Linked DNA regions of Saccharomyces cerevisiae S288C. The main gene of each other region encodes a partner of the protein of the gene in region 2 in a complex. Each region holds a gene or a part of one and is shown on either strand. Other genes may lie near its edges.

What was found.
Region 1: YJU2 (region 2) and RDS3 share a complex: the UniProt entries of both Saccharomyces cerevisiae proteins name them as parts of the spliceosome.
Region 3: YJU2 (region 2) and MUD1 share a complex: the UniProt entries of both Saccharomyces cerevisiae proteins name them as parts of the spliceosome.
Region 4: YJU2 (region 2) and SNP1 share a complex: the UniProt entries of both Saccharomyces cerevisiae proteins name them as parts of the spliceosome.

What each region holds. Positions count from the first base shown.
Region 1 is NC_001148.4:718,929-721,460, forward strand, and holds RDS3 (U2 snRNP complex subunit RDS3), read left to right. Parts: upstream 1-1,708; coding exon 1,709-2,032; downstream 2,033-2,532. Other genes in the region: ubiquitin-protein ligase ASR1, read right to left, coding at 630-1,496; Arf family guanine nucleotide exchange factor SYT1, read right to left, coding at 2,109-2,532. UniProt on the Saccharomyces cerevisiae protein: Required for pre-mRNA splicing. Involved in regulation of drug sensitivity and may play a role in multidrug resistance.
Region 2 is NC_001143.9:260,559-263,613, forward strand, and holds YJU2 (mRNA splicing protein YJU2), read left to right. Parts: upstream 1-1,718; coding exon 1,719-2,555; downstream 2,556-3,055. Other genes in the region: CWP1 (Cwp1p), read left to right, coding at 574-1,293; YJU3 (acylglycerol lipase), read left to right, coding at 2,791-3,055. UniProt on the Saccharomyces cerevisiae protein: Part of the spliceosome which catalyzes two sequential transesterification reactions, first the excision of the non-coding intron from pre-mRNA and then the ligation of the coding exons to form the mature mRNA.
Region 3 is NC_001134.8:477,436-480,826, forward strand, and holds MUD1 (Mud1p), read left to right. Parts: upstream 1-1,902; coding exon 1,903-1,910; intron 1,911-1,999; coding exon 2,000-2,888; downstream 2,889-3,391. Other genes in the region: TEF2 (translation elongation factor EF-1 alpha), read left to right, coding at 236-1,612; CBP6 (Cbp6p), read right to left, coding at 3,000-3,391. UniProt on the Saccharomyces cerevisiae protein: Involved in nuclear mRNA splicing. The principal role of the U1A is to help fold or maintain U1 RNA in an active configuration. It is the first snRNP to interact with pre-mRNA.
Region 4 is NC_001141.2:244,148-247,357, reverse strand, and holds SNP1 (U1 snRNP complex subunit SNP1), read left to right. Parts: upstream 1-1,798; coding exon 1,799-2,701; downstream 2,702-3,210. Other genes in the region: YIL059C (uncharacterized protein), read left to right, coding at 443-808; YIL060W (uncharacterized protein), read right to left, coding at 532-966; ARC15 (Arc15p), read left to right, coding at 2,896-3,210. UniProt on the Saccharomyces cerevisiae protein: Involved in nuclear mRNA splicing.

The DNA.
Region 1 (2,532 bases), on a different chromosome or scaffold from region 2:
ACCATAATGCCATCAACATCGCTCCTTTAAAAAATTTGTACACAAAAGAACGATGAGAGTAGACGGCGACCCTTTAACAGATACTAATATGTCCGCCCGGTCGACAACAAATCATCATATCAAAAGGAAAATTAAAAATTCCATTGCAGGCATGAAAAAGATAATAATGAAAGATAAATGCTTTCTTTTCTTCCCTTCCGTGGCACCCCTCATACAAGGCTGAAACTTAACGAAAAAGGGTTGTCGACATGTAGTTAAACCACTATTCAGTCGGAACAATTGGTATATGATTAATAATTTTTAATCATAGGGGAGTCACACAGAAAGAAAATGGAAAAAGAAAAAAGGAACTCATATATTATCTCTTCCAAGGGACCTACTGGTCGCTTAATCTGCCTCTTTGTAGTGCAGTAGCACTCACAATGGTGCTATATTTGAGTTTGTTCAACTGTTTTCTATTGAAGACGAAGAAGCAAACAAAGGAAGATGTGAAAAAAAAATTCTATGGGTCAAACTTGTGCTTTTATACGTCGTACGAGAGATGGGTCACCCGCTTCTGAGGGTTTTTTTTAGGGCTCATACTAGAGTATTATACTGTTTATATCTTGTTTTAATGTTATATTGCATTACTACTCATCATGACAGTAAATTAGGAGTTCTGTGTGCACTCCAGTTCGGGCTAAAGAGTCGTAATCGTACTGGTCAGGCAGGTACTTGTTGTCAGAGAGACGGTACAACTTGCGGGATACTTGCTTGTTGACGTGCTTGTAGGCATCCTTGAAGCGCAGCAGAGGCAGTGGGTACCGGTCCAGTGCTCGTCGCACGTGCATCTGGATTTTGTGCTTGGCATTCCGTATCTGTTCATACATCTGCTGTGTCTTGACGCTGTGCTTGTCCCGTAACTCACCAGCAAAAATCATGGAATTCCTGGAATCGTAGCTAGCAAGTTGGCTACTGATAGCACCCATGCGCAGCTCGAGCAATGCATTTGATCTACAATCTGTGCACTCCTGCCACGTATTGCGATCGCCCACCTCACAAGCTAGCCCGCGTAGACATGTTTCGTGATATATTGCTTCGCAGTCTTGGCAATACAGGCTTAATCGAGAAACATCTGTGTCTCCGCATATGCTGCACTGAATTATCTTAATGGTATCCATCACCAGCGTACCTCTAAGCCTTTCGCTGAGAAATTCTATTTCTTGGTCTTGCTCCCCTGTATCGTCCTCATTTCTTTCGTTAGTTGTTTCGGCCCCCACATAATCGATAGCATTCTTAATCATAAACCCCATCTTCAAATTTATAGAAAGTGCATGTTGCCCTTCGCCAACTTCTAAATGGGTGGATTCAACCCTGCAGATGGGGCACTTCAAGTTGATACTATACTTGTGCCACTCTCTTATACAGTTTAAGTGGAATTTATGCCCGCAAACGTTCAAACATCCAAATTGTTCACCCTCTTGGTCATCTGCCAAACAAATAGGACACTCTTCCATCTTTTTATATGATATTTGGATATTTGGCTGAGGGTATGGTCTCTCCCTTGGCTCAACTCCTTGCATCTTTTTTTCTATTTTTTTTTCTCACTTTCTGTTCTTCCATATATGCATTACTTGCCATATTTCTCACTTACTAAGGCATTCAACATAGAAAATGAAGATGGATACAAAAAAGATCCACACACATACAAGCCTCCAACAAAAAAAACATGTCCCGCCATCAGTTTGATCTAATAATGTGCCTAAAGCAGCCTGGTGTACAGACAGGTCTTCTTTGTGAAAAATGTGATGGCAAATGTCCTATCTGCGACTCTTATGTAAGGCCCAAAAGGAAAGTTAGAGTATGTGAAAACTGTTCGTTTGGTAAACAAGCTAAAAATTGTATAATTTGTAATCTAAATGTTGGAGTCAATGACGCATTCTATTGTTGGGAGTGCTGCCGCTTAGGTAAAGATAAAGATGGCTGTCCTAGGATCTTAAACCTTGGCAGCAATAGACTGGATAGACATTTCGAGAAAAAGAAAAAGGTATAACACATACATATAGAATATGTAAAAATATATAAATAAATAACATGCATTTATAACCCATGGTACTATTTTCTTCCCCTTATTCGTTACTATATTCGTCGTAACTACTGTCGCTCACGCACACTTGCAAACTGTTCTCGTTGAATAAGAAGCTTTCCTCTATATCATCTATACCATCACTATCGTCGTTATTGCCTTGCCCCTCCTCTTCTCCTTTACCATGCTCTAAGATATTCTTTTCAGCCTGCTTGCGAGTCACTTCTTTTATGATACTTACAAACAGCTCGCTTCTCTTAATTTCGTAGATTAACCAGTCCATTCTGACAGCCAGCTGTCTTATGCGGTTTATCATATCTGTCTTAGTCTTTGTGCTAATAGGAACACATTTTCCCATAAGCATCAGAGTGCTTTCAAATTTTTTCAATTTCTCCCATTTGGCTGATTTTATAGACCTAAGTCTTTCCATCCTCTGCAAAATGGTAAGCTTTCTCTTATTACAAATA
Region 2 (3,055 bases):
AAAAATCGGACATCTGGAAAGTTACGAATATAGAAGCAGATACCCCTCTTGACGGCAAACATTGTGTGCTCGACCTTCTATCCCGTTAAAATATCATAATAAACAAACCCCTCCCGCGAAAACAAAAAAAGAGAGCTAAAAAAAGTACTTCTTCGCGTTATAGATGGTGCCGCACCGTACGTCATAACTAAAAATAGCGTTAGCCACAGCTCCCTGAACGAAAAGGGCCCTTCGGCCCGATTGGAATACGGGTCCGCTTACGTCTGTGCGTGCGGGTTGTCCCACAACGGTAACTTACTCCAGGAGAGCCATCTCGAAGGTGCCACAAAAGAAAACAAAAAAAACAACAAACAATAAGCTCTGTGGTTCACGTTCAATGTAGTGTTTTTTCACCTTTTAATTTTGATAATTTGTGGTGCAGAAAAAAAAAAAGCAAACAAACAAAATCTCAATTATTTAAAGGACGATCTTAACGTTTCTTTCTTTCGCTATCTTCCTTGAATTTTTTTTCTGTCTGAAGTAAAATATCCCGTAACAAACTAATAAATACTACGAAAGTCTCAAAAAACAATAATGAAATTCTCCACTGCTTTGTCTGTCGCTTTATTCGCCTTGGCTAAGATGGTCATTGCCGATTCCGAAGAATTCGGCCTGGTGAGTATCCGTTCCGGCTCGGATTTACAATACTTGAGTGTTTACAGTGATAACGGCACTTTGAAACTTGGCAGCGGTAGTGGCTCATTTGAGGCAACTATTACCGATGACGGTAAACTGAAATTTGACGACGATAAGTATGCTGTTGTCAATGAGGATGGCTCATTCAAAGAAGGTTCTGAGAGCGATGCTGCCACTGGTTTTTCTATTAAAGATGGCCATCTAAACTACAAGAGCTCTTCTGGTTTCTACGCTATCAAGGACGGGTCGTCTTACATTTTCTCTTCTAAGCAATCCGACGACGCTACCGGTGTTGCGATTAGACCAACTAGTAAGAGCGGATCTGTTGCAGCAGATTTTTCTCCAAGCGACTCTAGTTCCTCTTCATCTGCTTCTGCTTCGTCTGCTTCCGCATCATCTTCTACAAAGCATAGTTCGAGTATAGAATCTGTCGAGACCTCTACTACTGTGGAAACTTCCTCTGCTAGCTCCCCAACTGCTTCAGTTATCTCTCAAATTACTGATGGACAAATCCAAGCTCCAAACACAGTTTACGAACAAACAGAAAATGCAGGTGCCAAGGCTGCCGTCGGCATGGGTGCTGGTGCTCTAGCGGTCGCAGCTGCTTACTTGTTGTAAGTACGAGAACAAAACCTGCATGTTTTATTTCCTTCAATATAGCTTTCTACATAATGATCACTTACATATAGCGTAATGTAATATGAAATGGCCCATAATATTCTCTTACATTGTCCTCCTACCTACATTCCTTTTCTTGCATGCAGCTCTCACATTCCCCGATTCGCTTGAAAAATTTAAACTTGTAGAAAAGTAGGTGAATGTCCCGCCGGCGGTTTCTCTGCTGCATGTAGAAAGATGGATATACAGAAAAGGAGATAAGAGTAGCTATCTCAAGTTTGTTCCACTGACTGCTAATACGCATAGAGTTGTTATTTATTGTACATATTCGAAAAAAAGCAAGAAATCACTACGGTGACCTCAGTAGAACGAACTAATAAGTCAAACCAAATTAACCGTTTCCAGGCTGATAGGAGAATACAAGAATGTCTGAAAGAAAAGCTATTAACAAGTACTATCCACCGGATTACAACCCACTGGAAGCTGAAAAGCTATCCAGGAAAATGGCTAAAAAACTGAAAACCATGAATAAGAGCCACGCATCGATTAGATTAATGACCCCATTTAGTATGAGGTGTTTGGAATGTAACGAATATATTCCCAAAAGCAGAAAATTCAATGGTAAGAAAGAGCTACTGAAGGAGAAGTACCTGGACTCCATTAAGATATATAGACTAACCATTTCATGTCCACGTTGTGCCAATTCCATTGCATTTAGAACAGACCCCGGTAATTCAGATTATGTAATGGAAGTGGGGGGCGTAAGAAACTATGTCCCTCAGAAACCAAATGATGACCTGAACGCTAAAACAGCTGTCGAAAGCATAGACGAGACACTGCAACGCTTAGTGAGAGAGAAGGAAATGGAGCAGAACGAGAAGATGGGTATAAAGGAGCAAGCAGATGACAAAATGGATTTGCTGGAAAAAAGACTAGCCAAAATTCAACAAGAGCAAGAGGATGATGAGGAACTTGAAAATTTAAGGAAAAAAAACCTTGAAATGAGCCAGAGAGCTGAAATGATAAACCGCAGCAAACACGCACAACAAGAAAAAGCAGTAACGACTGATGATCTGGACAACCTCGTAGATCAGGTATTTGACAATCACAGGCAGCGTACCAATAAACCTGGCAATAACAACGATGAGAAGAGAACTCCGTTGTTTAATCCTACATCCACTAAGGGAAAAATACAGAAGAAAAGCTCTGTGCGTACGAATCCGTTAGGGATAGTTATAAAACGAGGAAAGTCTCTCAAATGACCTAGAAAAGTAAGGAACGTACGATTGGTATCATGATCTCTTGTGATGCTGTGCTACTGTGGTTGCTTCCACACTATAGCGTCCATCGCTACTTACGAGGGGCGACAGCCCCTTCGGACTTCGAAGTGTCTGGCCGTTTTTTCATTGAATTTTCTTATAAATGAATACATATCGGAAAAGCCATTGTTGACTAAAGCAAGCCAAAGCCACACAAACCGAGGACAAATAGAAAAGCATGGCTCCGTATCCATACAAAGTGCAGACGACAGTACCTGAACTTCAATACGAAAACTTTGATGGTGCTAAGTTCGGGTACATGTTCTGGCCTGTTCAAAATGGCACCAATGAGGTCAGAGGTAGAGTTTTACTGATTCATGGGTTTGGCGAGTACACAAAGATTCAATTCCGGCTTATGGACCACTTATCACTCAATGGTTACGAGTCATTTACGTTTGATCAAAGGGGTGCTGGTGTTACATCGCCGGGCAGATCGAAAGGTG
Region 3 (3,391 bases), on a different chromosome or scaffold from region 2:
TATATAGCTAAATTGGTTCCATCACCTTCTTTTCTGGTGTCGCTCCTTCTAGTGCTATTTCTGGCTTTTCCTATTTTTTTTTTTCCATTTTTCTTTCTCTCTTTCTAATATATAAATTCTCTTGCATTTTCTATTTTTCTCTCTATCTATTCTACTTGTTTATTCCCTTCAAGGTTTTTTTTTAAGGAGTACTTGTTTTTAGAATATACGGTCAACGAACTATAATTAACTAAACATGGGTAAAGAGAAGTCTCACATTAACGTTGTCGTTATCGGTCATGTCGATTCTGGTAAGTCTACCACTACCGGTCATTTGATTTACAAGTGTGGTGGTATTGACAAGAGAACCATCGAAAAGTTCGAAAAGGAAGCCGCTGAATTAGGTAAGGGTTCTTTCAAGTACGCTTGGGTTTTGGACAAGTTAAAGGCTGAAAGAGAAAGAGGTATCACTATCGATATTGCTTTGTGGAAGTTCGAAACTCCAAAGTACCAAGTTACCGTTATTGATGCTCCAGGTCACAGAGATTTCATCAAGAACATGATTACTGGTACTTCTCAAGCTGACTGTGCTATCTTGATTATTGCTGGTGGTGTCGGTGAATTCGAAGCCGGTATCTCTAAGGATGGTCAAACCAGAGAACACGCTTTGTTGGCTTTCACCTTGGGTGTTAGACAATTGATTGTTGCTGTCAACAAGATGGACTCCGTCAAATGGGACGAATCCAGATTCCAAGAAATTGTCAAGGAAACCTCCAACTTTATCAAGAAGGTTGGTTACAACCCAAAGACTGTTCCATTCGTCCCAATCTCTGGTTGGAACGGTGACAACATGATTGAAGCTACCACCAACGCTCCATGGTACAAGGGTTGGGAAAAGGAAACCAAGGCCGGTGTCGTCAAGGGTAAGACTTTGTTGGAAGCCATTGACGCCATTGAACAACCATCTAGACCAACTGACAAGCCATTGAGATTGCCATTGCAAGATGTTTACAAGATCGGTGGTATTGGTACTGTGCCAGTCGGTAGAGTTGAAACCGGTGTCATCAAGCCAGGTATGGTTGTTACTTTCGCCCCAGCTGGTGTTACCACTGAAGTCAAGTCCGTTGAAATGCATCACGAACAATTGGAACAAGGTGTTCCAGGTGACAACGTTGGTTTCAACGTCAAGAACGTTTCCGTTAAGGAAATCAGAAGAGGTAACGTCTGTGGTGACGCTAAGAACGATCCACCAAAGGGTTGCGCTTCTTTCAACGCTACCGTCATTGTTTTGAACCATCCAGGTCAAATCTCTGCTGGTTACTCTCCAGTTTTGGATTGTCACACTGCTCACATTGCTTGTAGATTCGACGAATTGTTGGAAAAGAACGACAGAAGATCTGGTAAGAAGTTGGAAGACCATCCAAAGTTCTTGAAGTCCGGTGACGCTGCTTTGGTCAAGTTCGTTCCATCTAAGCCAATGTGTGTTGAAGCTTTCAGTGAATACCCACCATTAGGTAGATTCGCTGTCAGAGACATGAGACAAACTGTCGCTGTCGGTGTTATCAAGTCTGTTGACAAGACTGAAAAGGCCGCTAAGGTTACCAAGGCTGCTCAAAAGGCTGCTAAGAAATAAGAGTAATAATTATTGCTTCCATATAATATTTTTATATACCTCTTATTTTTATGTATTAGTTAATTAAGTATTTTTATCTATCTGCTTATCATTTTCTTTTCATATAGGGGGGGTTGGTGTTTTCTTGCCCATCAGATTGATGTCCTCCAACTCGGCACTATTTTACAAAGGGTTTTTTTGTAAGAGAAGGAGAAGACAGATACTAAACCATACGTTACTCGAAACAAAAAAAAAAAAAATGGAAAAAGCTGCTATCAACAAAAGACGGCCTCATCAAACCTAAAGAAACCATGTCAGCGTATGTATATACCTTGTAATTTACGTTTCCTTAAATCTTCTTTCTACTAACGTTTTCATTATTCTATACTCTATGACCAATAAAAACAGACTGTACTTTCAAAATTTACCCAGTAGGCCAGCAAATAAAGAAAATTATACCAGATTACTTCTGAAACACATTAATCCCAACAACAAGTATGCCATTAATCCGTCGCTACCCCTTCCCCACAATAAATTACAAATATCATCACAACCGCTGATGTTACTAGATGATCAAATGGGCCTTCTTGAAGTTTCTATTTCAAGATCATCAAAGATGACTAACCAAGCATTTTTAACGTTTGTCACTCAAGAAGAAGCAGACCGGTTTCTAGAAAAATACACGACAACAGCATTAAAAGTTCAAGGTCGTAAAGTGAGAATGGGAAAGGCTCGAACAAATTCGTTATTGGGTCTTTCAATAGAAATGCAAAAAAAAAAAGGTAATGACGAAACGTACAACCTTGATATAAAGAAGGTGCTTAAAGCAAGGAAACTTAAACGCAAGTTACGTAGTGATGATATATGCGCCAAAAAGTTCAGGCTTAAAAGGCAAATAAGACGCCTGAAGCATAAGCTGAGATCAAGAAAGGTAGAGGAGGCTGAGATTGATAGGATTGTAAAAGAATTTGAAACCCGTAGATTGGAAAACATGAAGTCTCAGCAAGAAAATCTAAAACAATCGCAGAAACCTCTTAAGCGGGCTAAAGTGTCCAATACAATGGAAAATCCACCGAACAAAGTCCTTCTTATACAAAATTTGCCAAGCGGCACTACCGAGCAATTATTGTCGCAAATACTTGGCAATGAGGCTTTAGTTGAAATCAGATTAGTTAGCGTTCGTAACCTAGCTTTCGTGGAATACGAGACCGTTGCTGATGCTACGAAAATCAAGAATCAGTTAGGCTCCACTTACAAGCTACAAAACAATGACGTTACCATAGGATTTGCTAAGTAGAATTTCCTTTGCGGAAGTATACCTCGAGTAAAGAAATTCACAGATAAATTTGAATAACGTTCTCCATTATGAATAAATATGTATTTACAAGCTTAGAAAATAATGTGCTCTTTATTTACCAAATAATACAGTTCTCATTGCAGTAAATAAGCTTTCCTTTTTCTTACCGTCAACGGCATTTATTAACCGTTGATAATATTGGGGATTTCCTGCAGGTTTATAGAGCTTATCGCCAATATCGTAATAGTTTCTGAATTTATTATTCATTATAGTGCTCAAGGCACGAATTTGCTCGTTGATGCTTTCTTCCGTGAATTTCTCATCTACCATTTTATTTTGAATTTTGGTTAACATCTCCTTATTCAGTCCTAATGGACCGGAAGTTCTGTTAATTATACTTTTTATTTCATCTAATGAGGGTTTTTTCTCTTTTATAGATTTTCCTTTGTCATCTACATTTGGCAGACCCGCTACACGTCTAAATCTTGCTATTTGTACATCCC
Region 4 (3,210 bases), on a different chromosome or scaffold from region 2:
ACTCGTAGTCACTCAGTCTGTTTGTCAGTAAGTCACGTAGACCTGTATCGGCAGTAACTATGGTATTTTTTCCAGATTAATTATTATACGATGTTGTTACTTCGATAAGGTCACAACAGGTTTTCCATTGTTGAGAAACTGACTTTGATTATTATTTAGTTAGTAGGCAACTGTCATGTTGCAACCACAACAAGCAACAATCCTTTCACCATGACTATTATAAGCGGCCGGCAAAATTGCCGGGAAAACTGCCAGGGATATAATGCAACCTTCATTTGAGCACTTAAAATAGAAGATAACGTTGGTAAACCCCCCTTGATAGTGGACACATCCTACGTAGATCTCTCTACAGCCAAGTCGTATATATAGCAGCAAATTGCAACCAACCACATGGGACATAGGAATGAGTGGTTTTCTCAGACCCTGAACGTGACCGTCCATCATGAATTTCTCCACAGTTTTTCAAGCAATAATCGCGGTTTTAGGTTTAACTACAGTCACAGCTTTAGCAGAATTTGATTTCGACGTAGGCTATGAAGAGTTTGTCCGTACCAATCCTGATACGATTTTCTTAGAGAGTGATATTGGCCTGCACGTTGGATATACCGAGGGTGGCGAACGACAGATAGCAACGATACCACACAATTCCACGCTAGGGACTTCACTACGTGAGTATAGTGGCTGTGGTGGTAATGGTACAGAAACCTCCATCGCTACCCCCGCACCTACAATGAGTGAGGTACCTATCGCTACCTTCGTGAAACGTAGAAAAAGTGTACCTATCTTGCTACCGCAGGTATGTATGTGAAGAGTTGGTGAATTTTGAGATAATTGTTGGGATTCCATTTTTAATAAGGCAATAATATTAGGTATGTAGAATGTACTAGAAGTTCTCCTCGAGGATTTAGGAATCCATAAAAGGGAATCTGCAATTCTACACAATTCTATAAATATTATTATCATCATTTTATATGTTAATATTCATTGATCCTATTACATTATCAATCCTTGCGTTTCAGCTTCCACTAATTTAGATGACTATTTCTCATCATTTGCGTCATCTTCTAACACCGTATATGATAATATACTAGTAACGTAAATACTAGTTAGTAGATGATAGTTGATTTTTATTCCAACAGTATGGGAGGTATATGAACCCCTACAACCACTCATTTAGAAGTGGGGGACTGTAGTTCTTTTATGAAGTAACGAAATTTTATGAAGTAACAACAAATGTTGTTAATTGTAATCTTAATAATCTAACATTTAATAAATCTTGACCTTAGACTTTTTTGTCTATTCATAATATGCTGATATTACTTTTCTTAAATATAAATATAATCTATATAATATTATTAACGAAATGTAGGAAGCTAAAAAAAAAAAAAAAAAAAAGAAAGAGACTTTTATGCGTATATTTAGGTACCCCGGTACTTACTTCTGTATATATAAATCAGTGAATCAATACATATTTTTTTTTAATGTTTTGTCCTTATAACGCGACTTATTCAAAAGAAAAAAAGAAGTCCCATGCAAAAATCTTGTCATTATTGCGAATGGATATATCAGTGAGACCTTTTTAAGGTTGTAGGGAAAAGGAAGTACGCTTCATTACAATTTCGTTCATGTCTTGCTCGCCTACTTGTTTTGCTCATAAATCCCATCAGCACCATTGTATGCGCCCTTCGTAGGAAATTAACGCATCTGAAGAAAAAAAGAACTGCAAGATAATGACACACAGCACGGTCATCGACTGTCGAAAGGAAACCTTAAAAAAGTAATCGGCACCTCAACCTTGATGAATTATAATCTATCCAAGTATCCAGACGACGTGTCGAGACTTTTCAAGCCAAGGCCACCTTTATCTTACAAAAGACCAACCGATTACCCATATGCGAAGAGACAAACAAATCCAAATATCACTGGCGTTGCAAACTTACTATCAACCTCTTTGAAGCACTATATGGAGGAGTTTCCTGAAGGATCTCCAAACAACCATCTCCAAAGATACGAAGACATCAAACTTTCCAAGATCAAAAATGCTCAATTGTTAGACCGGAGACTACAAAATTGGAATCCTAACGTTGACCCTCATATCAAGGACACAGATCCCTACAGAACGATATTTATTGGGAGGCTACCATACGATCTTGACGAAATTGAACTGCAAAAGTATTTTGTTAAGTTTGGCGAGATCGAAAAAATTAGGATAGTCAAGGACAAGATAACCCAGAAGAGTAAAGGCTACGCCTTCATAGTTTTCAAAGACCCAATAAGTAGTAAAATGGCATTCAAGGAGATTGGAGTACACAGAGGTATCCAAATCAAAGACAGAATCTGCATAGTCGACATAGAAAGAGGCAGAACCGTTAAATATTTCAAGCCAAGAAGATTGGGCGGCGGCCTAGGAGGCAGAGGCTATTCCAACAGAGACAGCAGGCTTCCAGGAAGGTTTGCAAGCGCAAGTACATCAAATCCCGCCGAAAGAAATTATGCTCCCAGGCTGCCACGCAGGGAAACTTCTTCCTCCGCATATAGCGCTGATAGATACGGCAGTTCCACATTGGACGCGAGGTACCGTGGAAACAGGCCATTGCTCTCCGCCGCCACTCCTACTGCTGCTGTTACTTCTGTATATAAATCTAGAAACTCACGGACTCGAGAGTCTCAACCAGCTCCCAAAGAAGCGCCCGACTATTGAATATAAGTAATACTTAAACTCTGCTACTTGTTGTCTATGATTACCCGCACATCAGTTAATTTGGATACTTTTTTCCCTTTCTCAGACTTTGCCCCTATAACAAAATAAGAGAAAAACAGCCCGCATTTAACACAAGATACTATAGCAAAGGAGACCAGAGAAGACTCAACACAACACACGCGAACGATCAAGCAATGGAAGCCGATTGGAGGAGAATTGACATCGATGCATTTGATCCAGAGAGTGGCAGACTAACCGCTGCCGATCTGGTACCACCATACGAAACTACTGTCACATTACAAGAATTACAACCTCGAATGAATCAATTGCGCTCGCTTGCCACAAGTGGTGACTCTTTGGGAGCCGTTCAATTACTCACAACCGATCCTCCATACAGTGCAGATGCTCCAACAAAGGAGCAATATTTTAAGAGCGTCCTTGAAGCATTGACACAAGTCAGGCAAGCCGATATTGGTAATGTAATCAAAAATTTGAGTGATTCTCAGAGG